Linked DNA regions of Saccharomyces cerevisiae S288C. The protein of the gene in region 1 binds, or shares a complex with, the protein of each later gene. Each region holds a gene or a part of one and is shown on either strand. Other genes may lie near its edges. A codon is read from its position in the direction of its gene.

Region 1 (14,224 bases):
CAATAATTCTAGTACATCTTCAAATGATGTCCTGTTAGAAGCCTTCACAAACACTCAAAGAATATGTTCAAATTTAAAGCAAGAGCTACAAAAGCAGCAACAGGATAATGCAAAGTTGAAAGTTCGACTACAGTCGTATGCTTCCAATTCTGATAAGATCAATGAAAAAGTCGGAAAATATAAATCTTGTTTAGAAACTCTTCAAGAAAGGATTGCAACGTTGACGAGCCATAAGAATAATCAAGAAACTAAATTGAAAGATTTAAGACAAAACCACCAACTATATCAGAGAAGGATAAGCGGATTTAAGACAAGTATTGAAAACTTGAACAAAACAATAAATGATTTAGGGAAGAACAAAAAGGAGGCGGATGCAGAATTAATGAAAAAAGGTAAAGAGATTGAATACCTGAAAAGAGAACTAGATGATTGTTCAGGTCAGTTGAGCGAAGAAAAAATCAAAAACAGTTCCTTAATACAGGAAATGGGAAAAAATAGAGAAGAAATGATTAAATCAATTGAGAATTTCTTTTCAGAAGATAAAGCACACCATTTACTGCAATTTAACAAATTCGAAGAAAGAGTTCATGATTTGTTTGAAAAAAAATTACAAAAGCACTTCGATGTGGCAAAAGATACCCTTAACGTAGGCTTGAGGAACACCACTGTAGAGTTGAGTAGTAATACAGAGACCATGCTAAAGCAGCAATATGAAGATATCAAAGAAAATCTTGAACAAAAAATGTCATCCAGTAAGGATGAAATGGCAAAAACAATAAATGAGCTGAGTGTAACGCAAAAAGGACTTATAATGGGAGTACAAGAAGAACTATTAACGTCATCAGGGAATATTCAAACTGCTTTGGTAAGTGAAATGAATAACACAAGGCAAGAGCTTCTTGATGATGCGTCTCAAACAGCCAAAAATTACGCGAGTTTGGAAAACTTGGTGAAGGCATATAAGGCAGAAATAGTTCAGTCGAATGAGTATGAAGAAAGGATAAAACATTTGGAGAGTGAAAGGTCAACTTTGTCTTCACAAAAAAATCAGATTATTAGCTCTCTTGGTACTAAAGAAGCACAATATGAAGATTTGGTCAAAAAGTTGGAGGCGAAGAATATCGAAATTTCACAAATTTCTGGCAAAGAACAAAGTTTAACTGAAAAAAATGAAAACCTTTCTAATGAACTGAAAAAAGTCCAGGATCAACTAGAAAAACTCAACAATTTGAACATCACAACAAAATCAAATTACGAAAATAAAATATCTTCTCAGAATGAAATTGTGAAGGCTTTAGTTTCCGAAAACGACACTCTGAAGCAAAGAATTCAACAGCTAGTAGAAATCAAAGAAAATGAACAGAAGGATCATACAACCAAACTGGAGGCTTTCCAAAAGAACAATGAGCAGCTACAAAAGCTAAACGTCGAAGTAGTACAACTGAAGGCTCATGAATTGGAGCTTGAAGAGCAGAATAGGCACTTAAAAAATTGTTTAGAAAAAAAGGAAACTGGTGTTGAAGAATCACTAAGCGATGTAAAAACCCTAAAACAGCAAGTGATAGTTCTGAAATCGGAGAAGCAAGATATAACAGCTGAAAAGTTAGAACTTCAAGATAACCTCGAAAGTTTGGAAGAAGTCACCAAAAATTTACAGCAAAAGGTGCAATCGCAAAAGAGGGAATTAGAACAGAAGATTAAAGAGCTAGAAGAGATAAAAAACCATAAACGGAACGAGCCTAGTAAAAAAGGTACACAAAATTTTACTAAACCATCAGATTCACCCAAAAAAAATGCTACGACGTCCAACTTATTTCCTAATAACTCTGCTGCCATTCACTCTCCTATGAAAAAGTGTCCTAAGGTGGATCATATAAGTAAGTCAAGAATTAATTCATCCAAAGAAACATCCAAATTTAACGATGAGTTCGATCTTTCTTCATCATCAAATGACGACCTAGAGTTAACCAACCCTTCCCCAATCCAAATTAAACCAGTGAGAGGAAAAATCAAGAAGGGTTCAAATTGCATGAAACCTCCAATTTCTTCAAGAAAAAAATTACTACTAGTAGAAGACGAAGACCAGTCATTAAAAATAAGCAAGAAAAGGAGAAGGAAATAGAGGATAATGGAAAATTTGAAATCGTTTTGTGCGAATACATTTCATTTTGTTCCCTGCGTAAGAAGTATGCATAGTAAAATTAGCGTAGATATAGTTTTTTGAGGTATATACTTATTCATAGCTTATAAATATTTACAGTGTTGTAACTCTAGTAAAAACAAAAGAGGTCATCTAGATTGCATTCTCCTTATTTTATCACTGATATCGTCTTCTTCAAGAAAGTGCAGGATCTTGGTGCACGACTTAGGATCACCAACTTTCTCAATATGAAGTACTGGTATGTCGAAGCAATATTCCTTCCACCATTTTGCGTTTCTTCGGTCAGTTATGTTGACTATCTCTAGTGAAACTGCTTTATTATGAAATTCCTTTCTTTCAAATACATCATCTATCACTTCCTTTGCTTGATCGCATAACCCACAATTAGGCTTTGAGAAGAAAGTTAATTTCACTCCAGCATCATGTAACAATACCCTCGAAGTATGTATAGAACAGCGGAACGCTCTCAACATGGTGATATGTTCCTTAAGTTTTATGTCTTACTGAATAATTACGAATTTCTGTTATGAATTAAACGAAACTTTACAATGCATCAACTCCGAACTCTCTACGGAAAGGTAACAACTTGCGCACATCATAGACCCATAAAGCGAAAAAAAGGGAAGTCAATCACAGTTATATTGACATTCCAAAGCCAGTAACTAAAAAACTACAAAAATGGATTCTCACAGTCATATTAAGTGACCTCTTATTATTTCCCTTAAAACGGTAATTCTTAATAAAGAACGTCAGTGTTCCGAGTGATAACGCCGTGAAGCACCCTGCTTCATTACATATGAAATCGTGGGGAGAAAAAATCGTGAAAACAATATAGAGAATAAGTGAAGTTGAAGCTCCACAAGCCCTTGTAAAGTAAACTTAGATTGAAGCGATGGTATTAACGAGGCAAGTACTAGAGGAAGTGGAGAACACATTTATTGAATTACTTAGGAGTAAAATAGGACCTCTCGTAAAATCGCACGCAGGAACAAACTTTTGTTCATATGATGATAAAGCAAATGGCGTAGATTTGGTAACTGCTTTAGACAAACAAATTGAATCTATAATCAAGGAAAATTTAACGGCCAAGTATCCCAGTTTCAAATTTATCGGAGAAGAAACTTATGTAAAAGGTGTCACGAAAATAACTAACGGCCCTACATTTATTGTTGATCCCATCGATGGTACTACTAATTTTATTCACGGTTACCCCTATAGTTGTACATCTCTAGGTTTAGCTGAAATGGGGAAGCCGGTTGTTGGTGTGGTTTTCAATCCTCACTTAAACCAACTATTCCATGCTTCCAAAGGCAATGGAGCTTTCTTAAATGATCAGGAGATAAAGGTTTCAAAAAGGCCATTGATTTTGCAAAAATCCTTAATTGCTTTAGAAGGAGGTTCGGAAAGAACTGAAGGTTCCCAAGGAAACTTTGATAAGAAAATGAATACTTATAAAAACTTACTAAGTGAGTCCGGCGCCTTTGTTCACGGGTTCAGAAGTGCAGGAAGTGCTGCCATGAACATATGCTACGTAGCGAGCGGCATGCTTGATGCTTATTGGGAAGGTGGCTGCTGGGCTTGGGATGTTTGTGCCGGTTGGTGTATTCTTGAGGAAGCAGGAGGAATAATGGTTGGCGGAAATTGTGGAGAATGGAACATTCCATTAGACAGAAGATGTTACTTGGCTATTAGAGGTGGATGTGAGTCGATGGAGCAGAAGCGATTTGCAGAATCGTTTTGGCCTCACGTTGCGGGTGAGTTAGAATACTAAATGCCCCCCTCAGGTGTCGTTAAATAAGCTACATCTAAGAAAAGTTTATATAGTACTTCACGCAATTCCTACTAGTATTTTTTTCCAGTACAGGACGATATCTTGAAGCAGCAACTTGATTTCACAGGTCACTTAGTGTGGGCTTCTGACTCAAGAATAGCAAGTATTACATGCATGCGGCCCTCTCCTTTAACAGCGCGATATACGTGAAGAAAAATTTCAATGAAGAGTAATGCGCTTATTATCAACTTCGATTGAAGGGGTCCTATATCAGTATGCTACAAGGGAAGGTTGTTCGATAAACATAAGCTTCTCATTAGCATGAGTTCTATAGATAATGACAGCGATGTGGATTTAACAGAAGATTTAGCCGTGGCCAAGATCGTTAAAGAGAATCCTGTAGCTAGAAAAATGGTTAGGTATATTTTATCGAGAGGAGAATCTCAAAATTCGATCATAACAAGAAACAAGTTACAATCTGTTATACATGAAGCTGCTCGCGAGGAAAACATAGCAAAACCGTCTTTTAGTAAAATGTTTATGGACATAAATGCTATACTGTATAACGTATATGGGTTTGAATTACAAGGATTGCCGTCAAAAAATAATATGAACGCTGGCGGTAATGGAAGCAATAGCAATACAAATAAATCAATGCCTGAGCCACTGGGACATAGAGCCCAGAAATTTATCTTGCTAAACAATGTCCCGCACTCAAAAAATTTTGACGATTTCAAGATTTTACAAAGCGCTCACACTTATGAAGAGCTAATAGTTACCGGAGAGTATATTGGTGACGATATAGCTTCAGGAACTTCCAATACCTTAGAAAGCAAGTTGAGTACAGATCGAGATCTTGTTTACAAGGGTGTTTTGAGCGTCATTTTATGCATTGTTTTCTTCTCTAAGAATAACATATTACATCAGGAATTGATCAAATTTCTAGAGACATTTGGCATTCCAAGCGATGGTTCAAAGATTGCTATACTGAACATTACTATTGAAGATTTGATAAAAAGTTTAGAAAAGCGCGAATATATAGTCAGATTGGAGGAGAAATCCGATACCGACGGGGAAGTGATATCATACAGGATAGGTAGAAGAACTCAGGCTGAGCTTGGACTAGAGTCTCTTGAAAAATTGGTGCAAGAAATCATGGGCCTTGAAAAGGAGCAGACTAAAAGTTTGCACGATGATATAATAAAAAGCATTGGCGATTCATATTCTATATAGCATTGCATAGGTGTCCATGTAGTTTAGGTGCGCATCTTTTTTGTCGAGGAAATAGTGAAGATGAATACGAAATAAACTATGGGCAAATAGTTACGAAAAAAGACTGGACTTAAACGGGTTACTATATATTTGTATAAGTTATCTCCTTGTTTTCTTTTTACTCAACCATCATATTAATTTGCAAGCTTACTTAACAAGTCTTGTATACTAGAAGAAACCCCTCCGGAATTCTCAACACCTTCGTCGGTTTGGGCGCCGACGTGGCCTTCTATATCTAACTCATAATGTCCATCCTCACTGTTGAAAGTACCATCTTCACTCGTCTTCGAATCAAGATGAACCTTTTTTTCCGGTATGTCATTAGCGTCATCATGACCTATCATATCATGTGTTCGTTTCATACCAAATTGATTGTCACTAGGATTATGAGTAGAGTTTTTATGTTCGCTATCTGTCTTTTCTACAACTTCATTCTTCTTATCTGTGGTGCTAATATTAGTAACGCCATAATTGCTGTCATTGGATCTATCATCGTAATTTTTGTCATCATCATCATCATCATCATCATCATCATTATCACCATCATCGTCATCGTCATCTCCATCCCCCACTTCATACGTAGGAATAATATTGTCTTCATCAACGTTTTTATTTAATCTGGATGGGTCTTTAGCAGATAAAACGAATTCTATTTCACTTAACATATTCTGTTCCTCATCTAGATGCCTTTTTTCATCGTCCAGTGTGCTTTGCAGTTTATGGATACCGCTTTCTCTTTTTAGAATTGATTCATTTATTATATCTTTAGCCATGTTCCCAATCTTACTTATTGTTTTAAAATTTTCCTCGTAAACTGAGCTGGATGGATCCAATTCATCTGATGATTTGTCAAATCTCATTTTCATCGCGCAAACATTATGGTGCATTTTCACTAATTTTTCATAGTCCTTAGCAAAATCTTTCAATTTCTGGGGTAACACCAACGCTTCCACTGGTGAGCTCTCGGTTTTAAGACTTCTTTCTATGTCATTGACTACCTGCTTGGAAAATATATTTCTTTCTTTTAGTATATTCACAACTCTTGACAACTTCTTTTTTAGGTCCCTCGGAAACTCTTGATTAATTCTTCCCAATACTTCTGCTGCCACCTTTCCAAAGGAATCTTGAAATTGAATAATTTTTTGACCTTTAGCCTGTTGAACAACATGATTCATTAAGTAAAGACCCAATAACTTCCTTCTTGTGTTTACACTAGGCCTTAACATGTATTCTTTCCACATTTCTGCCACTTTGGGAGCATCTCTATACTGTAGAAGCAACCACTTTGAGGCACTGGAAATAGATTCTTGGGAATCTTCCAACGTATTTAATTTGGTTGTGAATTGCTCAGAAGAGAAAGGCATACCGTCTATTTTAATCTTGGATTATTGCTTTCTTCAAATTTTCTACCTCTTCGTTAAAACCTTCTTCGCTTGTACTTATATTATTATGTTGGCTTTTCAAGTTTATATATTTTTAAAGGAAAAAAATAACTTTTTCATTTTTCGTTATAAAACAGAACCGTTATACATATTGAGATGGTTAAGGTCGTAGAAAAGAAATGTTCATTTGAGAAGGAAAAATGGAGGAAGGACCTATCAAAAAGAAACTGAAGTCAGCAGGTCAAGGGAGTGGAAAGACCGATGCCTTTAGAAATTTTGAACAATTTTTTTTCCGCCTTAATACTCTTTACACCTTTTTGATTTGCAGAAAGCATGTTGTGCCTACATTTAAAACACTTTGTGGACCTATAGAAACTGCTTTGAAAAGAACTGTGACGAAAGAAGACCTAGCCATGGTTATGGCGCTAATGCCAAGAGAATGTGTTTTCAAGTATATTGATGAGAACCAAATTTATACTGAAACTAAGATTTTTGACTTCAATAATGGCGGCTTTCAGCAGAAGGAAAATGACATATTTGAACTGAAGGACGTTGATGACCAAAATCAGACTCAAAAATCTACTCAGTTACTTATATTTGAATTTATAGACGGTACAATGCAACGCTCATGGTCTGCAAGTGATAGATTTTCTCAAATAAAGATACCAACATATACTACGGAGGAAATGAAAAAGATGATTTCTAAAAGGGAAGCTCTCTTTAAATCCAGACTACGGGAATTTATCCTGGAAAAGGAAAAGGCTAACCTTGACCCATTTTCTGAGTTAACAAATCTAGCGCAGAAATATATTCCAAGGGAGAGAGATTATGAGGATCCTATTGAGGCAATGATGAAGGCGAAGCAAGAAAGTAATGAGATGAGCATTCCCAATTATTCCAATAATTCAGTGATAACAACAATTCCTCAAATGATTGAGAAATTAAAAAGTACTGAATTCTACGCTTCTCAGATAAAGCATTGTTTTACAATACCATCAAGAACAGCGAAGTATAAAGGTCTCTGTTTTGAGCTTGCACCGGAAGTATATCAGGGTATGGAACACGAAAATTTCTACAGCCATCAAGCAGATGCGATAAACAGTCTTCATCAAGGCGAAAACGTCATTATTACAACATCGACCTCTTCAGGTAAATCCCTTATTTACCAACTAGCAGCTATCGATCTTCTTTTAAAGGATCCTGAATCAACGTTTATGTATATATTTCCAACAAAGGCCCTGGCACAAGATCAAAAAAGAGCATTCAAGGTAATACTTTCAAAGATCCCCGAGCTAAAGAATGCCGTGGTTGATACGTATGACGGCGATACGGAGCCAGAGGAAAGAGCTTATATTCGTAAAAATGCTAGAGTTATTTTTACCAATCCTGACATGATACATACCAGCATTTTACCTAATCATGCAAATTGGAGACATTTTTTGTACCATCTAAAGTTAGTGGTGGTCGATGAATTGCATATATATAAGGGTTTATTTGGATCGCACGTGGCATTAGTGATGAGACGTTTACTAAGACTGTGCCACTGTTTTTACGAAAATAGTGGTTTACAATTTATTTCATGTTCTGCAACTTTAAAGTCTCCAGTACAACATATGAAGGACATGTTTGGAATTAATGAGGTTACGCTAATACACGAGGATGGCTCACCTACAGGTGCTAAGCATCTAGTGGTGTGGAATCCTCCAATTTTACCTCAACACGAACGTAAACGAGAAAATTTCATTAGAGAGAGTGCAAAGATATTGGTACAATTGATATTGAACAACGTAAGAACCATAGCATTTTGCTACGTTCGTCGTGTTTGTGAATTGTTGATGAAAGAAGTTCGCAATATTTTTATTGAAACTGGGCGTGAGGATCTGGTTACAGAAGTCATGTCTTACAGGGGTGGTTATTCTGCTTCCGACAGACGTAAAATAGAACGTGAGATGTTTCACGGAAATTTAAAGGCTGTCATATCTACCAATGCTCTAGAACTTGGTATTGATATCGGTGGACTAGACGCAGTCTTGATGTGCGGTTTCCCACTATCAATGGCGAATTTTCATCAACAAAGTGGTAGAGCTGGAAGAAGAAATAATGATTCTTTAACCCTCGTGGTTGCAAGTGACTCGCCTGTTGATCAACATTATGTTGCTCATCCAGAATCCTTGCTGGAGGTTAATAATTTCGAATCTTATCAAGATTTGGTTCTTGATTTCAATAACATTTTGATACTGGAAGGACACATACAATGCGCTGCTTTCGAACTGCCAATAAATTTTGAACGTGACAAGCAATACTTTACTGAATCTCATCTTCGCAAAATCTGTGTTGAACGCTTACATCACAATCAAGATGGGTACCACGCCAGTAATAGATTTTTACCATGGCCGTCCAAGTGTGTATCTTTGAGAGGCGGAGAAGAAGATCAATTTGCCGTAGTGGATATAACAAATGGAAGAAATATAATAATTGAGGAAATAGAAGCATCCAGGACTAGTTTTACTTTATATGATGGCGGTATATTCATTCACCAAGGCTATCCCTACCTTGTGAAGGAGTTTAATCCTGATGAAAGATATGCTAAAGTGCAAAGAGTAGATGTTGACTGGGTAACCAACCAAAGAGACTTTACAGATGTAGATCCACAGGAAATTGAACTTATACGCTCTTTAAGGAATAGTGATGTTCCTGTTTACTTTGGTAAGATCAAGACTACAATTATTGTATTTGGCTTTTTTAAAGTAGACAAGTACAAGAGGATCATCGATGCCATCGAAACCCATAACCCTCCTGTAATAATCAATTCTAAAGGATTATGGATAGATATGCCAAAATATGCCTTAGAAATTTGCCAAAAGAAGCAATTAAATGTAGCAGGAGCTATTCACGGGGCGCAACATGCAATTATGGGTATGTTACCGCGATTTATAGTGGCGGGTGTGGATGAAATACAAACTGAATGCAAAGCTCCGGAAAAGGAATTTGCAGAACGTCAAACTAAACGAAAGCGACCAGCTAGATTAATATTCTATGATTCCAAGGGCGGTAAGTACGGGTCTGGCTTGTGTGTTAAAGCGTTTGAGCATATTGATGATATTATAGAGTCTAGTTTAAGAAGAATAGAAGAATGCCCATGCAGCGATGGATGTCCTGACTGTGTAGCGGCTTCTTTTTGTAAGGAAAACAGCCTGGTCCTGTCGAAACCTGGCGCCCAAGTCGTTTTGCATTGTATTCTAGGTCACTCGGAAGATAGTTTTATAGATCTTATCAAAGATGGTCCAGAGCCAAATATGCCAGAGATAAAAGTAGAGACTGTTATTCCTGTGTCAGAGCATGTCAACTTTTCAGATGATTTTAAGATTATTGACGTTAGAAGAGCTACGAAAGACGATACTCATACAAATGAAATCATTAAAAAAGAGATATGAGCACGCTATTTGTAGTTTGTAAACCGAATATAAATACTCTATTCTACTACTTGTAGATTCACTTGGTGGAAAGAAGTTACATCAACATTCTGTCACCTTGTTGATGCACAGAAAAAAAGACACTTTATTATTGTTGAATAACATTGTCTGTGGTATATATATATATACTATGATATTACAGTTTTTAAGACATTAATGTATTAACAGCCCATTTTACGCTTAATGTCCTCAAATCGGTATAGGTTTGTCCCACGCCAACGAATAAGATAGGAATCCCCGTAGCATAAACCATATTTACCATAGTACCCAGCATTTCACCAACTGTGTCACACTTGGAGATAATAAAGAAGTCAAGATTTCTTCCCTTTCCGAAGGCATCATTAAAATTTTTGGCTTGCTGGACAGAATCAGTACCTACTAAAGCCTCTCCAACCATAATGATTTTATCTGGCTTGGCTTGGTCAGCGAAAGACTTCAATGGCGACATTAAAGTAGGATCATTATGCCTTCTCCCGGCAGTATCCATTAACACTATATCGAAGTTTTGATCACGAGAATATTTGATGGCTTGCTTTGCAATTTTGGTTACCAAGTCAGATCCACCATAACCAGCTTCAAATAGTTCAACGTAGTCATTACCAGTTTTACCCCTTTTGTTCTTGGAGCCACGAACGTGTGAATCATCCATTAGCTGTGCCAAATTTTCAACATGGACCCTTAGTTGCTCAACTGCACCAGACCTAAACGTATCACAAGCAACAATTAAGACCTTGAAATTATTTTGCAGTAACCAAAACGCTAGCTTTGAAAGATTTGTTGACTTACCAACACCATTAACACCAACTATAGAGAACACATAGGGATCACATTTACCTTCTTCATCCTTTTTGCTTCTTTTGCTCTGAATTTCACGGAGGAGATCAACGGATACACCAGGCGTTAATATTTGAGTTAATGCTTTTGTTAAAGATTCACGAGCAGTATTCTCAACACTGGTCCAATTTGCAGTTTTTGAGCCTACAAGATCATGTGAGACTTGCTGTGTTAAATAGTCTGCTGCCTCTGGTGCTACATTTTTGGTTATCAATTGTTGTGTTAACTTCTCTAATACAGATTTCAAATCACTTTCATTGATCGTTTTGTTACCTAGAACGTGTTTTTGAAGGAATCCAAAAGCTGTACTGACGTATCCAGAATTTTTAGCTTCGTTCCCACTAGTTATCTCGTCTTTATGAGAAGACAAAAGATCATCAATTTCTTTGATTAAGAAATCGCCTCCTTCTGTTCTATCCCCAAAAGAATCTTTATTAATAGTGGAGTCTAGAGCTACTTGGCTACTATTGTGGCTGTTGGATGATGAGAAATCTAATTTGGCTGCATCTTCATGATTCATTTCATCAAGCATGCCACCATCACGGCCCCACTTTCTCCCACTACCAACATTTCCTGTAGATTGCTTCTTACCTTTTGTATCCCTCAATTTTTTCTTGGTATTTTTATTATGCGATTGGGGTACTGATCCATTTTTGGTAAAATTATCTGGATTGATATGGTCTTGTTTTATTGACTCTTCATATTTTATCCTAAAATATTGCTCAAATTTCTTCAGGTCGTCTTCAATTCCCTGAAGAATATCGACGTAGTTATGCTTGTTCTTTTCGTTTTGGCCCTGACGATTTTTTAGAATGGATTCACTTAAATGCAATGAGTTCCAGAGTTTTAACACCAGTGCAAGTGTTTGTTGAGTTTCTTGATTAAGCTCTAAAGTCTGCTCGGCAAAAGTCACTACGAAATACAATTCTGGTTGCTTATTCAAATAAAATAGTGCATTAAATGAAGGAGAATTTTTGTGTTCGCTGTTGATTGTTAAAAGATTGAAATCAAATCCGTCTGTATTTGCGTTTGCAACACTTTCTTTTCTAGTTACTGGGGAAGTAATCAGCTGGGATATAAAGCTGTTAATTTGTATTTCAGAAAACTTTTTTCCTAAACAGTTATATTGGTAAAGTACTTGACCTTGAGGGGTAAAGACTGCTAATTGGTCGAACATAATCAATGCACTTATTGAACCGTGAATCTCCTATTGAAAAAAACTACTTGATGAAGTAGCTGAATATTATTCAAACTGTGAGAATACCACAAATCTTTGGCTACAGATTAAACGCTGACGAAAAATTGGTTTATTTATTTCTATCTACTTATTGTACGACCTCAAATGTTTACGCAGTAGTTTCTGAAGTACGAGCAAAATTGCTCGACGATGATTTCGTTATTGTTTCCGGAAAAATTACCCAGCGCATAAAAAGTAAGCTTTCAGTACTTCTCTTTGATGATATTTGTACAGCAAAAGGGTATTTAGTAACGGAATAAATTTAATATATAAGAGTATAAATAACAAAAGACAATATAAATTGAAAAGTTGTAAATATTGAAAAGAAGGCTGCATTATTGTTTTATGTATTTTTGGGAAAAAATATATGACTTAACGAGGTCGAATAAAAAAATTTGGATGATGCCTTACCGGAACGTGGATTAAAAGGAGAAGTACAAAATTCATGCAGTTGTTAATGTTCGCAGGAAATAAAAACAAAGGGAAGGGATACTGAGGGGTGAAGCACAATCCAAAGAACGAAAGTGAAAAACAAGAAAAACAGCAATGACGATATTGGTAGAAGAGATTATACCCTCTTCATGAATGGATTTAATGCACGGACGGTTAAACATGGCAAAGCCATCCCCACCTCAGCTCTCAATAGAATAGGAATCTTTTGCAATTCATGTATTTCTTGTATATAGTTATCATTTTCAATTCTGGTTTCAGTAGTAGAAATGAATTTTTCTAAAGCATTTTGCTTGTTGTCGCTTGCAGATGGTAGCCTTAAATTTGGTACTGTTAGATGCAAATCGCTGAGTTCCTTACTCAATGGATCGCTGATCAATGGTTCAGATTCCGCTTCTTTATCTAGTTCAATATTCGCAATCTCAGCGGCTGTGGATCTGAATTTGTTCTTAATGGAATTTCTATAGGATTTTGGATTTTTTTCATCTGCTGGTATAAAAGTTGCACTATCTACGCCGGGCTGCCAATGCAATTCCAAGACACGATTGGTACCATCAAACTCAGCTTTGATCAAAGGTAGTTGATCTCCATGAACTCTCTTTTCAATACCAAATTCTGGAATAAATACATCAAAGGAGGACTCGTAAACTTGTAAGACAGTAGCCATTGTTAATAATTGTCCTGTAGTATTTCCCATGTCGTTGATTGTTTTACACAACAATAGATGAATTGCTTGTTCCTGTGCTTGATAAGCACAGTCCTTTTTAAAATTACAATATTCGGAGGTAATCTTCAAAGCTTCCATATCTTCGGTGTATGGAGTATCGTGGATAACGGCCTTTAATTGCCTATGAACGACATGATCAGCGTATCTTCTCATTGGCGCTGTGAAATGTGTGTAGATAGGTAGGTTCAAGGCATAATGCCCATATTGGTCCGGGTCTACTTTGCCAGCAATAAAGTATCTAGCTCTTGGCATGGTTTTAAACAGTAAAATTTCAATTCCGACTCTAACATCGTCATCTTTAATTTTTAGCACCCCTTTGATTAATTCATCCGCCGTATTGGTATCAAAATTGTAACCAAAATTTTGAATTTTCTTTCTAAATGACGCCATCTTGGTTGCAATGGGTTGCATCTGCCTTCTCAAAAGAGCTAGATCACCAAGTTTGGTGTAAATTTTCTCTGCAACAGTGGAGTTGACCTTTCTTTTAATCTCATTAATTACAACAAAGCCTAAAGTTCTATCCAGGATGTTCAAGTCAACCTTAACTTTTTCGTCATCCAAGCTTTCCAATAAGGACAGGGTGGGAAGTAATGTAGCTTCTGGATCATTTATTCTTCTAGCATAAAATGATCTAGCAATTTCCTGTACAGTAGAGAGGTAGCTAGTGGGACTTCCAGTAGATAATTTTTCGTCTAATTGTTCTAAAGACAAGATGTTTGAGGGGGAAATTGTAGATTCGCCTACCCAAGTAGATTTAATCCTTAAAGTAGATGAGTCTAGAGTGTAAACAACCGACAGCGTGGCTGATTCCTTGCCAGGGGCCAACGACAGTTCGTCGTTGAACGATTGTGGTAATAAATTGACAAGTTTTTGTGGCATGAACACCGCAGAGGACCTCTTTCTCGCACGCCTATCAA
Region 2 (16,722 bases), on another chromosome or scaffold:
TGATATAGCTGAGTGCAATGTAAACGATTTTGCTACCACTTGTGTAATGTAGAACAAGCTAACCTTAGCTATGTGTAAAAATTTTGTAGAGATGATTCAATAAATGTCACGAAAGGATTGTAGAAGGATAAGAAGCAAGAATTCACAAAAAAGAAATGCGTCACAGACAGGATTCGAACCTGCGCAGGTAAAACCCAATGCCTAATTGCTTTTCTGAGGAAATAGCAGGGCATCGCCTTAACCACTCGGCCACTGGGACACGATTACTTACAATGCACAGCAAGAGCACCCCAACAGTACTTTAAAAACTCTCCTCCAAATATGTCTGCAACGTGTACTATTTATTATAACGAAGATAAATAGTAATACCAATGGCCCATAAAAGCGTATTATTCCACTACCATCGGCCTCCCCTACCACTGAACAAGAGGAATGCGTTACGAGATGTAATCACTTATAACGAAGTGGTATATTCCGCGCCATAAGAAACAGCCATACACTTTACTTGAACAATAGAACATCACTGTAATATTAGAAACATCACCCCCCTTCTTACGAAACTGCCACAAGACAGAAATATGACAGAGGTTGTGGGATTCTGGGAGAGCGTGTCAGATGACGAATCAGAAGACAAAGACTGTATGGAGGTGCAGAACACAGTGAGTGCCGACGAGAGCCCACTTGTGCAGAGCCTTGTATCCTTTGTAGGCTCGTGCTCCATCAACCTACTTTTGCCCTTCCTCAACGGCATGATGCTCGGCTTCGGCGAGCTATTTGCTCACGAGCTCTGCTGGAGATTCAATTGGTTTAACCATAGAAACAAGGGGTATAAGGTGTACCCAGAGTCGCGCAAAATAGCAGCATTGAAAGAGATTTCAAGCCCTGGCACCCGTGGGAGGGTTGCGTCCAAGTTCCTTTAAACGATCACCAAAGCATTAGCAACCTACATAAATAAATACACACACACATACGGTAGATTATACGTAACCACATAACTGGCAATAGTTTCACAAGCCATAAAGCTAGCCACGGTATTACCCTCAAACGACCCCGTCTTGGGCGATAATCCCGCGGTGAAAAATTATTCGTTGAATCATCTCCAAATAAATGGATCAGTCATTGCCACGGTGATGAATATGAACAGCGCAGTGCATTTCAGGCAGCGCATAATATACGCTATCTCTATCACTACAGATAATATACTAAGATGTTGAATTTCGCATCAAGAGCGTCATGTGTGACAAGACGTCAAGCAAGCTTGTATTTTGTTAAAAATCAAGGCCCTAGATTAATAGCTTCCACTATTCCCTCGTGTCATTGGCCTTTGAGAGCGCAAGGAGTACAGCCCAACTATCCTTTATCTTTGAGATTTTATTCTACTGATAAGTCGAAAAGTGTTACGAAGCCCGTAGCTCCAACATCCACCGATGCTCCTGCCAAGCCCAAGGAGACGCTTATGGTCAAAGTGAAGCACGCCTTGAAACATTATGCTAATGGGACGAAACTTTTGGGTTACGAAATCAAAGTTTCTACTAAGCTTTTGATTAAATTTGCTCAGGGTTACGAGTTGTCTAGAAGAGAGAGGAACCAATTGAGGAGGACAATGGGCGATGTGTTTAGGTTGATCCCTTTTTCAGCGTTCCTTATTATTCCATTCGCCGAACTATTTTTGCCTTTCGCTTTGAAACTCTTCCCCAACTTACTACCCTCCACTTACGAATCCGGCAAGGATAAGCAAGCCAAGAGAAATAAGCTCATCGAGATCAGAAAAAAGACATCCGAATTCTTGCATGAGACTTTGGAAGAATCCAATTTGATCACTTACAACACCATTGAAAATGCAGAGAAGAAGCAAAAATTTTTGAATTTTTTCCGGAAGCTTTATTCTGCCAAGGAAGGTAAGATTATGACTTTCCAACACGATGAAATAAGCGCCATTGCGCAAATGTTCAAAAACGATAGCGTTTTGGATAACTTGTCAAGACCACAATTGGCAGCAATGTCGAAGTTTATGTCACTAAGGCCATTTGGTAACGATAACATGCTTCGTTACCAAATTCGTTCCAAACTAAAGGATATAATGAACGACGATAAAACTATTGACTACGAAGGCGTTGAAAGTTTATCGCAAGAAGAGCTGTATCAAGCTTGTGTGTCTCGTGGTATGAAAGCGTACGGTGTATCCAAGGAGGACTTGGTCGATAATCTAAAAGTTTGGCTAGAATTGAGACTGAGACAAAAAATCCCATCCGTCTTGATGGTTTTGAGTTCCACGTTCACGTTTGGAGGACTTCCAAAGGAGAACTATTCAAAGGCATTCTCGCCACTAGCTGAAAAAAAAGAAACAAAAAGCAAATATGACGACCTTTTGGATCTGTACTACGACGGTATATTACAAGTGCTAAGTTCCATTCCAGATCCCGTTTACAACGTCGCAAAACTAGATGTATCTGAATCGAAATCATCCGCTGCTGAAACTGAAGCTGAAAAGCAAGTTGCTGAAAAGAAGATAAAGACGGAAGAAAAACCCGAGGAAACTGCTATACCGAAGGAAGAAGCCACCGCAAAAGAGTCTGTTATAGCTACCACCGCTTCTGCGGTTACTCCTAAACTAGTCGTAGTTAATGAAAAGGCAGAAACAGCGAAGACAGAGGAAATATCTCAGGAAAAAGAGAACGCAGAGCCTACCGACTCTGCGGAAGCCACGGAAGCTGAAGAAAAGAAGACATCCGACGATAACGAGTTCAAATTGAACGTTTTGAAGGAGCAAGAAGAACTAATAAAGAAGGAGGAAGAGGAAGCTAAGCAAAGAGCTTCGAGAGAGCATGTGCCAGATGATATCAACCTAGATGAAGAGGAAGAAGCAAAATCTGTACCTCCCATTCCGGCCGATCAAGCTGCGAAGACTTTTGTCATTAAGAAAGATTGATATTAGATCAAAGCCTAAGAAAAAAACTAAAAAAAACTAAAAAAAAAAAGTCAATCGGTTCTCTTTTCTCTGACAACAATGGCAAAAGATCAAAGAGAAGCGTACGTCACGGCAAAACCAGCGACCCTTCAAAACTAAATTATTATGCATGTATATAATAGACACCCTATCTAAACTACCGCCTTATTTTTTTTTTTATACAGGAGCAAAGTGTCTTTTTTGTGATGGCCACGAGGGTCCTTTCACTCATGACTCCTTAATCAGCATCTTATGAGCTGGATTTTCATATATCGGCGATTTTTTTCATCGGTAATGCACGCAGTAAAGCTGCTCGCTCGAGAAAAATTAGTAATATATGGAAGAAGAAGCATAAGCATAAAAGAGAAAATCCGCTGCCCCACCGTAGAAAGCAAACAAGGCTATTGGTTATTCCTCTTTTCACCTGTACTTCAATCTGTAGCACATCATCATAAGAGGCTTGAAAGTTGCTCAAGAACAGTTTCAACGGTTTTTTCTTTTGAAATTTGAAAATTGCTCTTCGTTTGTTGAGCCGTTATCAAGGAAGTAAATCATCAATTAAAGAATATAGAAAGGCACAAAATTTTGTCATTTACGCACACTTTCAATGGATCATGAGACAACGAAGGTCTGTAGTAGCAGTTAGCGTAAAGCCCAAAGGCTTCAAATTGGGGCATAAACAGGGTTCCATGTCTACGACGTCTCCACCTCCATCCTCACCAGATGGAAATGTGAGTACATCAGGACCGTCAGCTATTAAGTTATCCAAGAATTGGGAGTTACCACAGCGCCTAAAACCGGGCCGCAAACCGAAATCCAAGCGCGGGGATGCATCAGCTAATAATGATGGATCGTCCAAGATAAAGAAGGTTCAAACTTCCAACCAGAAAGACCAAATGACCACAAAAGATCATGAGAACGAAGGCGCAAAAGGTCATGAGGGGAAATCTGATGATGAAGGCAACGGAAGTGGTGATGAAAACGGTGTCGATAGCGTGGAAAAGCGAAGGAGGCAAAATAGAGATGCGCAAAGAGCATATAGGGAACGCAGAACAACAAGAATCCAGGTTCTGGAAGAGAAGGTTGAGATGCTACACAATTTGGTCGATGATTGGCAAAGGAAATATAAACTGCTGGAATCTGAGTTTTCCGATACAAAGGAAAACTTGCAAAAATCAATAGCATTAAACAACGAATTGCAAAAAGCCTTGCCTTTGATTGTTAATACTCCATTTCAACAGCAGCCAGAAAACCCGCCAGACAATCCTATTTCGATATTAGAAATGGTAGAAAACTTTAAACCAATCGGCGCTGTCAGTTTAAAAAAAGGAAAGCTGAAGGCCCATTGTTAACATCTCATGTGCCCGCGGTATTAACAGACCAGTCTTTGTCTGAGATTGATATAGCCAACGATTATCAATATCTGAGCGGCAGACAGTTTAGTTCAACGAATTCATCGCTTGATGGCCATATTAATTCACCTCTGTCTTCATGCAGCAGCAGTATCAATGCATGTGCAGGCAGTGGCAACAAAAAAATAAAATGTTGTAGGAATAAAGATGCCATGAAACCAGTAACATGTTGCAACCAAAAGAATAACATAATGCCATCCTTAGTCCCCGTTTGCTGTTCAGAAAAGAAAATAGAATCCGATGCTAAGAAATCAATATCGAAATGCTGTGGAGACAAAGAAATCTACGATAGCGAGAATAGACCGATCACTAAAGAGGATGGGTCATGGATACCTGGAAGCTGCAAGCAATGTAGATCAGACCCCCATAGTAGGAATTTTTGTCAATCACTTTCGAATAAATGTAGTTCAAGCTCTTTCTCTTCCAACAGTGCGTTGTCACCGGATCTAAATGAACAACAAACTGACGTAAATTACAATTCAATCAAGCTACCCGAAATATGTTCCTGCAAGAATGCACAAATGAATGCGGCTTCCGATGCAAAGAGGTATCTGCCGATCAGTTACACATATCAAAAAATCCGTCAACATATGCAAAAAAATAAAAGTATCCAAGAACAACTAAATCCTGAGGATTCAACTTCGATCTCATCAGCGTTAGAGAACATTGCATCTGGATTGCACGTTCGTGGACAGAAAGTAGAATTGCAAAGCATCAAGGATGCATTACATAAGATGGACAAAAACGTCTTGGAATGATGTATTTAGAAAGAAAAGAAAAGTGGAAGCATAAATAGTGCATATAGATATAGGTATATATATGAATTTTTTAATAATAATATTAATGATGTTTTTTTATCTTAAGAACATTAAAAGTAAGCGGCGCTAACGGAATAATTAGAAACAATGTGGTAAAGAACGGGGGTGAAAACTCATAAAACCAAGTTATAAAGTTCTGCCAAAGCACGGAATATCAAAGGAATCTCAATAATTCCGGCAGCACCCTTTGATTTCGAGGACGATTGGCTGGACGAAGTAGCAGATGCGGCAGATTTTAGCAAGCTCGTTTCGCTAGCAGAAGGGGAGGAGGAAGATGCCTTTGAAGTCGAGGATGATGATTCAGAAGATGAAGAAGCGGAAGATGAAGATGAAGAGGAAGAAGAGGATGAAGAGGAGGTGTCGTCGTCTTCTTCGTCGTCATCGTCCTTAGCATCACAACTTTGTTGGGTGGCGATTCCGGTTCCCATAGGAGAACCTGCTCCAGATGTGAAGTAAGCAGAAGCAGCACTTGGCATAGCAGGCAAAGTGTTATTAGCTTCCCAGACACCCTTTTCATAATCAGGACATGTAGAATAGTTGTTGGAAGTACTGTAACCACCATTGCCTTCTGGGTTGGATACTTTGCTGTATTCATTTTTCAAGTTTTCAAAATCTGTCAATTTAGTGACCTTGTCACCATCAATTTGAACGAGCCCGTAATTGTTAGTTTCATTGGAATATTCGTAGACTAGCCCACCGGAGAATACAGAAGACATTTGAGTGGAATAGATAGCTTCAATTTCTGTGAATGGACGAGAGCTCTTGACTTGGTTACAACCAAATTCACTTAAGAAGACAGGAACGGAGTAATCTTGATATAGCTTCATCTTGGTGGAATAACCCGATACCACAAATGAAGATTCACCACACCAAGAATAGTCATTAACACCAAACATGTCGATTCTAGCGTCAGCTTCATCACCACAGTTAAAGTATTCAGCAGCCAATTGTCTGTTAGCGACGATATCAGCAGCCGAGTAACCTACCGGAATTTGTCTGTATTTTCTAGCCTTGATGTATTTCTTCATGTCCCTGACCACTGCCTTGACATAAGTAGCAGTGTTGGTAGTATTAACACTATTGATGACCTCGTTACCAGCGAAAAAACCTAGAACATTGTCGTAATCAGCAAAGGTATCAATGGTGGCAAAGACATTTTGTAAGTAGTCAGCGTTATAGGAGCAGGCTGGATCGTAACGAGAAATAGCACTCGTGGGGGTATTGACATCCAGGATCAAGTATATACCGTTCTCCTGCAATAGTTTCATACAATGGGAATGATCTTGCGAGTTATCCACAGTATAAACTCTGACAGTATTTATCCCTAGATCTTTCAGAACGGGGACGTCTCTGTCACAGACAGATGCGTCTGCTAAGGGATCAGTCAAGTTAGAAGAACCACCAGGCTGGTAATCAACACCACGGATATAAAACCTTTCACCTGATTCCGAATTAAAAAATGCATTGCCTTTAATTTCAATGGATGGTGTGGAACTGTTACTGCTGCTAGCAGCCTGAGCCAAACCAGCACTTAAAACGAAGGCACTTGTAAGAGAACGTAGTAACATAGCTATTTAGAGCTGTGTGTGTAGCGAGTGATATATAATATGTTTGTTACAGCCCACTGTTTACTTTTATATACGAAATGCAACACTGTCAACAAATCAGTTCAGGGACCTTCCTATTTATAGTATAAGCAAAATAAAAGTGAAAAATTTCCTGCGGAGTTTTTTTTCTCGAGAAATTGTGAACAAAAGAAAGCAAAGACACAGAAGATGATAAGAGAGAGAAACAACGAAGAAAGAACAACAATGTTGGGGTTCACCCGAGAGATATTGACATACTGACCTTAGAAAAGGCATTACTGAGGCTACTGACTAAAGCGCGTTACATAAATGCATAGTATATTTCTTGTTGTATACGCAGCGGCCAACTAGTGGCAGCAAGAATGTAATGAACGATTCATCTGCAGGTTTGGAGGCCGCAACTAGATCAAAACGTAAATAGCGGGTGAAGTGTTCTGGACGTTAGAAGTAACGTCCGCAGATCGAAGCTAAACACGAGATTAGATTTCGGGTAACGGAATTGTGATAATTAAGAAAGACCAGACTATGTGAAAAGGCCACGTAAATGATAGAGCACACATTAGCAACTATAATAGACTAGTTTTCGCATCGCTGGAAGTTCTCGATATTGAATATCACTTCCAAGAACGCAAACTTAGAATGGTCCGGATTCTTCCCATAATTTTGAGCGCCCTATCTTCGAAATTAGTGGCGAGTACAATATTGCATTCATCCATACACTCAGTGCCATCTGGAGGCGAAATCATATCTGCAGAAGATCTTAAAGAACTTGAAATTTCAGGGAATTCGATCTGCGTTGATAATCGTTGCTATCCTAAGATATTTGAACCAAGACACGATTGGCAGCCCATACTGCCAGGTCAAGAACTCCCCGGTGGTTTGGACATTAGAATAAACATGGACACAGGTTTAAAAGAGGCAAAACTAAATGATGAGAAGAATGTCGGTGATAATGGTAGCCATGAGTTAATTGTATCTTCAGAAGACATGAAAGCATCGCCTGGTGACTATGAATTTTCCAGTGATTTCAAAGAAATGAGAAACATCATAGATTCTAACCCGACTTTATCTTCACAGGACATTGCCAGATTGGAGGATAGTTTTGATAGAATAATGGAATTTGCGCATGATTACAAGCACGGCTACAAAATTATTACCCATGAATTCGCCCTCTTGGCCAACCTTAGTCTCAATGAAAATTTGCCGTTAACATTGAGAGAGCTCAGTACTAGAGTCATTACCAGCTGCTTGAGAAACAATCCTCCTGTAGTCGAGTTCATTAATGAAAGTTTTCCAAATTTTAAAAGCAAAATCATGGCCGCTCTGTCAAATTTGAATGATTCTAACCACAGATCCTCTAATATCCTAATAAAAAGATACTTGTCCATTTTAAACGAATTACCTGTCACATCCGAAGATCTTCCTATATACTCTACGGTTGTTTTACAAAATGTATATGAAAGAAACAACAAGGACAAACAGTTACAAATAAAAGTCCTGGAGTTGATCAGCAAAATTTTGAAGGCCGACATGTACGAAAATGACGATACAAATCTAATTTTGTTCAAAAGAAATGCTGAGAATTGGTCGTCAAATCTGCAAGAGTGGGCAAACGAGTTCCAAGAGATGGTCCAGAACAAAAGTATAGATGAACTACATACAAGAACGTTTTTTGACACCCTTTACAACTTGAAGAAAATTTTCAAAAGTGACATCACGATCAACAAAGGGTTTTTGAATTGGTTAGCGCAACAATGTAAAGCCAGGCAATCTAACTTGGACAATGGGCTCCAAGAGAGAGATACTGAACAAGACTCATTTGATAAGAAACTTATCGACAGCAGACACTTGATCTTTGGCAACCCCATGGCTCATAGAATAAAAAATTTCAGAGATGAACTCTGATTTCACTGTCATTGCATATATAGTTTAATATTAATAATATTTTTTTCAATTAATATTTCGTGAATCTTATTAGAGATATATTATATATCCGTGTCTAATTTTTAGTTACTTCATCCAAAAACGTCCCGTCGTTGGCCAGTCTATTTCTAAATTTGTCCCACCATGTATCAAACCTCTTGATGGGCACGTTTCCCTGAGCATCTAGGAACCCTGATAAATAGTTATATGCATGCTGAACGATTTTGGCGGCCAATTCTTGTGTCAATGAAGGGTAAACTTGTGCCAACTGCCCTGCCGTGGTAATATTTCGAATTATTCCTAAGTTAGGTCTTGACAAGATCAATGAGTTGTTCTTTTGTGCTTCGGCATTCATGCTGGCCTTCCACTCTTCTAATTTCATCATTCCTTGTTCTCGAGGCTCAATGGAAATACCAATAATCAATTCTGATATGTTATTACTGCTACTTCCATTGGTGTCAGTAAACGGATCAGCGGCCCCCGAACCATCATCTACATCCATGTCTATCTCACCTAATCCATCACTTGTATCTCCAGCGTCTTTCTTCGAGCTCGGTATTTGCACTTTGAATATGGCACTGGGTTTCTCACTGCTTAGGTACCCAAATAGTTTAAATTCTTCCTGAGGGCTAAGTTTGAAATAGACTGTAGCTATATAATCCTGAGGAAAGGTAACATTAGGTAATATAAACAGTGTTATATGCGAGTATAGTTTCGGTTTCGTTCGAGAAAGGACAATTGTATGCTGTAACCCATTTGAATTGGGGACTTCTACCGATAGTTGCAATGGATTTCCTGAGGCAATTGCAGCAAACATTTCTTTATTTTCTCTCACTCAAATATTTCTTATCAATCTCCGAATTTGCAAATTTATTAGACCACTTATTTTCGTATTTAAAGGGTGAGTCGAATTGACGTATTTTAAATAAAATGTAGATCTCTCCTTTTATCCCCAAATTTCGCTTTTAGTACCCGATTCCTATATAACTCTTCCAGAACGTTCGGTCGGCTTCATTAAGAAAATTCAATTAAACTTAATTAAACTTAATCAAGCTTAATCATAATAACAAAATAAACGTATACAGTAGTGGCTAATTACATTATGTATATGACGTATTTACATGACCCTATTGTATCGAAACCTTTTATTAATATTATTATTACTTTTTCTCTCTTTGCAAGAACTGTAAACCTTCGGATAATCTTTTGTTACTTTCCTTGATGCCCAAAATATCTATCATGGCTGCTATTTTGGCACCTGGGTGACATCCCGCAAGAGCAAATCTCATTGCCTGATACGTGACTTTCCTAGAAAAACCGTTCTCATAATACATCGTTTCGACCATAGATTCGACTTCTTGAGCATCGGTGCCCTCTTGAAACTGTCCAAGCTTCTTCAATAAGTGAGCAATGTGGCGGCTTTCGTTCTTGCTTAGAAATTTCGTGACAGCATCATTATCATTATATTTGGGCTTTTCAAAAAAATAATAAAATTCATCATGAAAATCGTTAATCCTTGATAGAGAACCACCACAGTTCAGTAAAATTTTAGCTACTTTCTCACGGCTTATGGTAGATGTGTTATATATGGACTCTAAAGAAGGCATAATGTCGTCGACAAGCTCCCTCAATGTAGAAGGATTAAGTATTCTTTTTTGCAAAAAATGCTTATTGAAGAACCACAATTTTTTATCATCGACTTTGGCATTTCCCTTCGTCAAACCATTCAAATTAAAAATGGTTTCCAATTCCTCCATTGAAAAACACTCATGCTTTTTCGAAGCCAGATCTCTTGGAGGAGACCAGCCAAATAGCGCACAAAAGTTAATCAAAGCTTCTGGCAAAACTCCCTGTCTTTTTAAATCCGAGATAGACATATCACCTTTTCTTTTACTCAATTTCTTATCACCAACCGTCGTCAATAAGGGAATGTGGATGAACTTTGGGCAAGCCCACCCAAATGCATTATATAGGGCGATATGTTTAGGAGTAGAGGGCAGCCATTCCTCACCTCTTATAACATGGGTTATTCCCATCAAATGGTCATCCACAACATTTGCCAGATGATAGGTTGGCAACTTATCCGACTTAACAAGGATAAGGTCATCGTACCGTTTATCGTTAAAGTTTACTTGCGGTTGAAGATTTATTTGTCCATGTAAAAGATCAGTAAACGTTGGATATCGTTCTGGCGATTTAAACCGCACAGTGAAAGGTATACCTTGCGCTAGCTTAGATTTTATTTCTTCCTCCCCTAAGTGTGCACAACATCGATCATAGCTTGCCATCGAAGGAGGTTTCAATTCCATTGCAGAGTGTCTCAAATCGTTCAATCGCTCCTTTGAACAAAAACATCTATACGCCTTCCCAGAAGATAGTAATATTTTTACATATTTGTCATATATTAGTTTCCTTTCACTTTGCTTTATAGGGGTTTCATCGTAGTTTATGTTACACCATTTCAGAATCTCGTAGATGTTTTCTTCTGCTCCCTCTATTAGCCTCTTCTGGTCTGTATCTTCTAAACGAAGCAAAAACTGCCCATTGGTGTTTCTTGCTAATAGGTAATTGTAAAGGGCTGTTCTCAGTGACCCCAAGTGTAAAAACCCAGTTGGAGAAGGCGCAAACCTAGTTCTAACAGGTAAAGAAGGATGGATATCTTCCTTTATTTTCTTGGATAACAGAGATTTCTTCAATGGTGAGAGACCTACGCCCTTTATTAGCTTCGAAGGTGAACAATAAGACCGTGTCGGTATTCTCAACATGATCATATTGTTATTTTATAGTTCTTCTGTACCAGATTAGATTTTTGTCATGTAGCGGTTGCTTGCTTTGGTGCCTCGAATTTAATATAAGAAATTAATTATTGCAGCTTTTCTTAAGCGCGTTCTATTTAATTAGTTCTTTATTTGGTGAAGCCTTACATTTGTGAGGTAAGACAGCTGACACTAGAAGACATTTTTGCTAGATGAGACCAAACGTCTTGGTTATAAACATGTTTACATCTATATGTGTATAATTAATTATGCAATAGTGAAAGATTAATCGAATGAGTAGTTAGAAGTTTCACCGAAATGTATCATCTTCGGATCCTCAGAAGGGTTTGGAATCCAAGAACCAGCCATGACACAGTGTATTCTCATCTTTTCATGATAATGCAAGCCAGTCAATAATTTTGGAGTGATTAAAAAATATTGAGAAGTGTTTTCGGCACACGCGTTCTCCACCATAGCTTTATGAACGATCCTTTCATTTCTAGAGTCCATACCTTGATTGATTTCATCAACCACTCTAAATGGTGCAGAGGTAAACTCTTGCAAAGCAATCATGTAAAGAACTGTAGAAACAGCTCTTTCACCACCTGATTGCGTGTGGGAATCTAACTTTTTTAAAGGTGCATTATCTCTGAATTTTACCATGATTTCTATCTTCCATTCAGCATAGTCCTTCGGCTTTTCTAGACGAACCGCACCAGCACTCCCAACATTGTTGAATAAGCGCGCAAATCTTGCAGAGATTTTTGATACAATATCATCTAATTTGGGCTCCAAAACTGCGTGATCTTCTTTTAATTTAGCTTTAATGGTCTCCAAGTCTTTCGACTGCTGAGGAACCGTGTGCTCCAACTCTCTCAGTTCGGCTGTGACTTGATCCAAAATTGTTACGGCTGACTCGTCGTGGTTTACCATAGCTATCTCCGATTCTAATTTATCGAGAACATCCTGAACGAATGACAGATTGAAATTCCCTTCCTCCTCGTATTTTTCTGCCACTTTATTCAATTTTTCCTTAGTGTCTTGGTCATAAGACCTGATTTCTCTCATCCATGATTGAAATTCAGGAGTGTCTCTCATTTCTTTTACGAACTTTTTCTTGTCTTCATATTGGCTCTTCAAATCAGCTTCCCTCTCATTGAAAAAACCAATTACGTCATTCATAGAAACATCCATATTTTGGGCTTCAAATTGAAGGATTTGAGTACTTATTAACTCCTTCTGACAATTCTTTAAACTCTTCATTGAAGAGGCCATTTTAGACAGCAAATGTCTTTGCTTGAGTAATAGTTGTTGGATCTGATCATCAATATCTTTAATCTTTTGAGATACGTCCTTTCTAGCTTCACGTTTCAGTTGATCTAATTTCTCTCTTAAAGTCTCTATTGTACTTTTTCTCATAGTGTACTTCTTGCGAATCTCATTTAATTGATGAGCTTCCCTATTAATATCGTCGTTTTTTGACGCCAACTCAGATAATTCGTGCCTATAACCACTTTTCTGGTTTGACAATGCATCTAACGTAGATTTTCGATCGTTGTATTCATTCTTTAAGTTGATAATTTCATTTTCAATTCTAATTTTCTGCTCATTTGACATGATTGATCCCTGATAAAAATTAGTTTGTTTAATACTAACGTCAGTAGGAAAGACCTGCTTACTACCATATGCTGATTGCTTGATATCGACTAACCTATTCCCATGAATAATCCTTTTAAAAAGAATTTTCCCATTCGGTCTTGGTGTAATCAACTTCTTTATCTGAGCAGGCGTCAATTCCCTTCTTGATACCGGTATAGTATGAATTTTGCTAGTTTGACAAAGCATTTTCATAACCCTCTTATCACCGGTAATAAAATCGGATAGATAACCCTCAAATCCCAGGTCCCTCACCGTTTCCGCTGGTACAGGAGGGGTGGTGTCTGCACTGGAGAGTTCTCTCAAATTAACCTTGAATTTGTCAAGAATTGGATTTGCAAATAGCTTGTAAGAATCAGAATCAACAACAGTCAAGGCTTTACTCGTATTATAATCCACACATTGTGCTAAATATGCAGCAAATTGAGCGTTAATGGCAGACACGGTCATTATTGGCGGTTCTAGAATTTTATCTTTCATTTCTGGATGCTCTCTAACCATCAACACAGCATCACGGACCTCCTTTAAATCCTGGTCCTGATTTAAGATACCGATTTTATCAGTTGTTGTAAGGGATTTGGTCTTGCTTTCAGCTTGTCTCTGTATGCTTCTCATCTCATGATTAATAGCGTTCGCCTTCGCATCAATTTCGGAAATAAGATCCCTAATTTCGCCTTCTTTATTAATAATTTCCTTTCTTTTAATGTCTATATCTTCAAATACGCTTTTCTCAGGAAGATGTGTTTGTGCTAATATTTCCTGACTCCTTAGAAAATCTTCCTTTGTACTAATAATGGTGGCCTGTAGTTTTTTGGTTCTTCCTCTATAATATTCGTTCTGGTTTTTCTTTTTGATGACCTCATCCCTAATAGTATTTAATTTTTCGAAGATTTCGTTGATCTTTTCTTTTGCTTTCAGGAACTCATCAGTTTTTAGGGAACACTTCTCTGTTAACTCTTCCACCTGATTTTCCAAAGTCTTCTTAGTATTTGCAAATGGTTTTTTATCCTTCAGTATAGCCCTTAAGTTCGCTTTCGCTCGTTCGTATTCTTCTTTATATATGTTTAGCTTTTCTTTATGGTCCTTTACTTTCACATAAGGTAATAGTTGGGAGTGTAACTCGATTTCACCCTTCTTATTTTGAAAATCTCGTAAAGATTCAACTGATTTACGTAGTTTATCACTTTCTTGTCTCAAATGAACAATTTTAGCTTTTTTAAAATCGAGATCTTTTTGCAAGCTTTGCTCATTTCCTTGTAATTCCCTTAGTTCATCCAACACATCCAATAAGCTTGCATCGATTGACCTTATAGTCTCTACTAATAATTTAACTGACTTCAAGCGAGCAAACTCCTCAACACGCTCTTGAGATAAAAATTGACAAAGATTATCCAACTGAATGTTCAGCTGAGCAACTAAAGTTTTAACTACACTCTCAGATACCTGGTAGTCATTTATTAGATAATCCGATCTCCTCTTGGATCTCGTAATAATCCTGGTAATCTTTATTGTTTCATCACGTGCGTCTATGTATTCAATATCAGTAACATTTGGTGAATTTTTCAAGGTGATTTCAATTTTTGAAACATCTTGACCATTTTTGATGAAATCTTCCACTTTTTTACTCCTACCAATATACTCGGGTTTACCAGCCAATCCTAAACACACTGCGCATACGAAAGTAGATTTTCCAGATCCGTTTGGCCCAATGATCATATTTAAAGACGGTGAAAGATTGAATTCGGTTAAAGTGTAAGTAACAAAATCCTGTAAACGGATCTTAATAATGCTGCCTGGTTGGAAGGAAGACAAGTCAGGTTTTGCGATTTTTACCCTTTTCGATCTTGGCTCTGTATCTTCTCCATGATGCGTTCTTTCAACATATCTGCCCAAATCTATTAGACTGGTCATGCTAGGGATATAGCTTTTATGTACCACGCCCTTTTATTTGATATACTTCCTTTAGAATTGCGTACACGTACTTGTGAAAGTAAATACCTATTATCGGCATCTTGTCATCGCATAAAAAGGTAATCCAACGCGAAAGTTAACGCCATAATATAGCCCAGTCATCCTGAACGGTCTACAAGATTAATAAGATCAGCTATGCCAGCTTGTTGAAATAATTAGTGGCAACAAGTGTGTTGTCAGACAAATGTGATTATTTACATTTACAAAGATAGAAAGGAAATATCAAAACTATAAGAGTACACTACGGGCTAGAAAAAAAATAAAGGAAATGTTTCTTACATTAGTATCAGTGTAGCGGTTCTGTAAAGGTTAATCTTTGTTTGATTCAATCACGAAAAATCTGCTGCAAATTGCTACCTCTTTCATCATTCTAAAGTAAGTCCTTCTCTTATTCCTAGATGTTCGAGCAATACCAATTAAACTTGGCACGATGCGTGCAATTAAGAGTAATCGGGCACTGCACTCCGACTGGAGTCCGACGAATATCGTAGTGATCTTTTTTATCTACAGTACTGGTTGCTTATATCTTCCAGTGTATATATTCAATGTGGGAAGGAGGGAAAGGTCATTTTGCTAATTTTCATTTTTTCTCGCCTTTTAAAGCATGAGAAGAAAAGTTGACCATGTGTGCCAAAAAAAAAAAAGGTAGGGCTACCATCCTAATTAGAGTAATTTAAGGAATTTATTAAAATGCAATGTTAACTTTTTATAGAGTGCGTAAATAACTATGTAATGGTAAATACATGGCATACAGTATATGCGTGTTTACCACCATATATACGTGTATACTTATATTTTGTCTGCCGTTATATATAGCCAAGACCTTTTTCCTTCATGGGTTGTTCAACTTTCCACGGTAAAATCGGACATAATCAGACCATATCTTATTCATGGAAATTCGTTTCTTTTTCAAATACTGCAGGTCCTTATCACTGCACCATCTACAAGATGCAAATTTTCTTTCCAAAACAGCATACCTTTCATCTTCCTTGCGTTGCTGCTGAGCCAGGATTTCCACGTATTCCTTGGCATTGAGCTTCATGCCTTCTTTGTTTCTTAAATTGGTAATGCATAATCCGATGGTAGATTGCGTTTGTAACGACGAGCGATTGATGCGATGAGTACCCTCTGTGACAGAGAGTACGGGAACAAAACTTTGTAAGGCTTCTTTATCCAGATATATTTCACTTGGCTTTGTTTGCTGTTCAGGCAGTACATTTTTTTTGCTTGAATTTTTAGACAGTATCTTTCTACTTGACGTTCTTTTAGGAACATTAATCTTACCTTCTTCGCGTAGTGGAGAGATGTCGTCTGTTGATGATTCTGGAAGAGATGTTGATGCTCGATTAAATGTACTCACGCCATCTATTGAAACTCGATCATTTTCTTTTGAGACTGGCGTTGTCGGATGTCCTCCCACGGTTGATAAAGAGGAAAACGACAATTCTGTAGGCCCCGTAGTCACCATAGATTTGGGTGATAAAGTGAGAATTTCCTTACTATTATTACTGTCGCTCAATATTCTAGTAAAACCTCTCTTTATCTTAGAACCTAGAGATGTCTTTCTGTAGACGTGTTCTGTGTCATTTGGAGTGGACACTAAGACCTCCTCCGAAGCTCGACTGCTATTCGCAAACTTGCTGTCCGAATTGA

Evidence for each region.
Region 2: the proteins of NSE3 (region 1) and SMC5 are in contact, whole or in part, in a cryo-EM structure (PDB 8I13), measured with the Saccharomyces cerevisiae proteins. Residues at the interface, in NP_010574.1 of Saccharomyces cerevisiae: Asp159 (codon at 4,728), Asp160 (codon at 4,731), Ser215 (codon at 4,896), Asp216 (codon at 4,899), Gly217 (codon at 4,902), Ser218 (codon at 4,905), Lys219 (codon at 4,908), Thr249 (codon at 4,998), Glu252 (codon at 5,007); in NP_014608.1 of Saccharomyces cerevisiae: Lys232 (codon at 14,316), Lys233 (codon at 14,313), Lys915 (codon at 12,267), Glu956 (codon at 12,144), Lys957 (codon at 12,141), Pro958 (codon at 12,138), Lys959 (codon at 12,135), Asp960 (codon at 12,132), Lys971 (codon at 12,099), Asn975 (codon at 12,087), Ala976 (codon at 12,084), Pro977 (codon at 12,081), Leu978 (codon at 12,078).

What each region holds. Positions count from the first base shown.
Region 1 is NC_001136.10:1,032,942-1,047,165, forward strand, and holds NSE3 (Smc5-Smc6 complex subunit NSE3), read left to right. Parts: upstream 1-4,253; coding exon 4,254-5,165; downstream 5,166-14,224. Other genes in the region: ZIP1 (Zip1p), read left to right, coding at 1-2,122; MGP12 (Mgp12p), read right to left, coding at 2,290-2,634; inositol monophosphate 1-phosphatase INM2, read left to right, coding at 3,054-3,932; RTT103 (Rtt103p), read right to left, coding at 5,339-6,568; HRQ1 (ATP-dependent 3'-5' DNA helicase), read left to right, coding at 6,787-10,020; SRP101 (signal recognition particle receptor subunit alpha), read right to left, coding at 10,205-12,070; mRNA-binding translational repressor SSD1, read right to left, coding at 12,699-14,224.
Region 2 is NC_001147.6:258,210-274,931, reverse strand, and holds SMC5 (DNA repair ATPase SMC5), read right to left. Parts: upstream 15,010-16,722; coding exon 11,728-15,009; downstream 1-11,727. Other genes in the region: MIM1 (Mim1p), read left to right, coding at 579-920; ribosome-binding protein MDM38, read left to right, coding at 1,208-2,929; YAP7 (Yap7p), read left to right, coding at 3,562-4,299; YOL029C (uncharacterized protein), read left to right, coding at 4,512-5,117; GAS5 (1,3-beta-glucanosyltransferase), read right to left, coding at 5,291-6,745; SIL1 (Sil1p), read left to right, coding at 7,403-8,668; OPI10 (Opi10p), read right to left, coding at 8,763-9,503; glutamate--tRNA ligase MSE1, read right to left, coding at 9,847-11,457; YOL036W (uncharacterized protein), read right to left, coding at 15,902-16,722.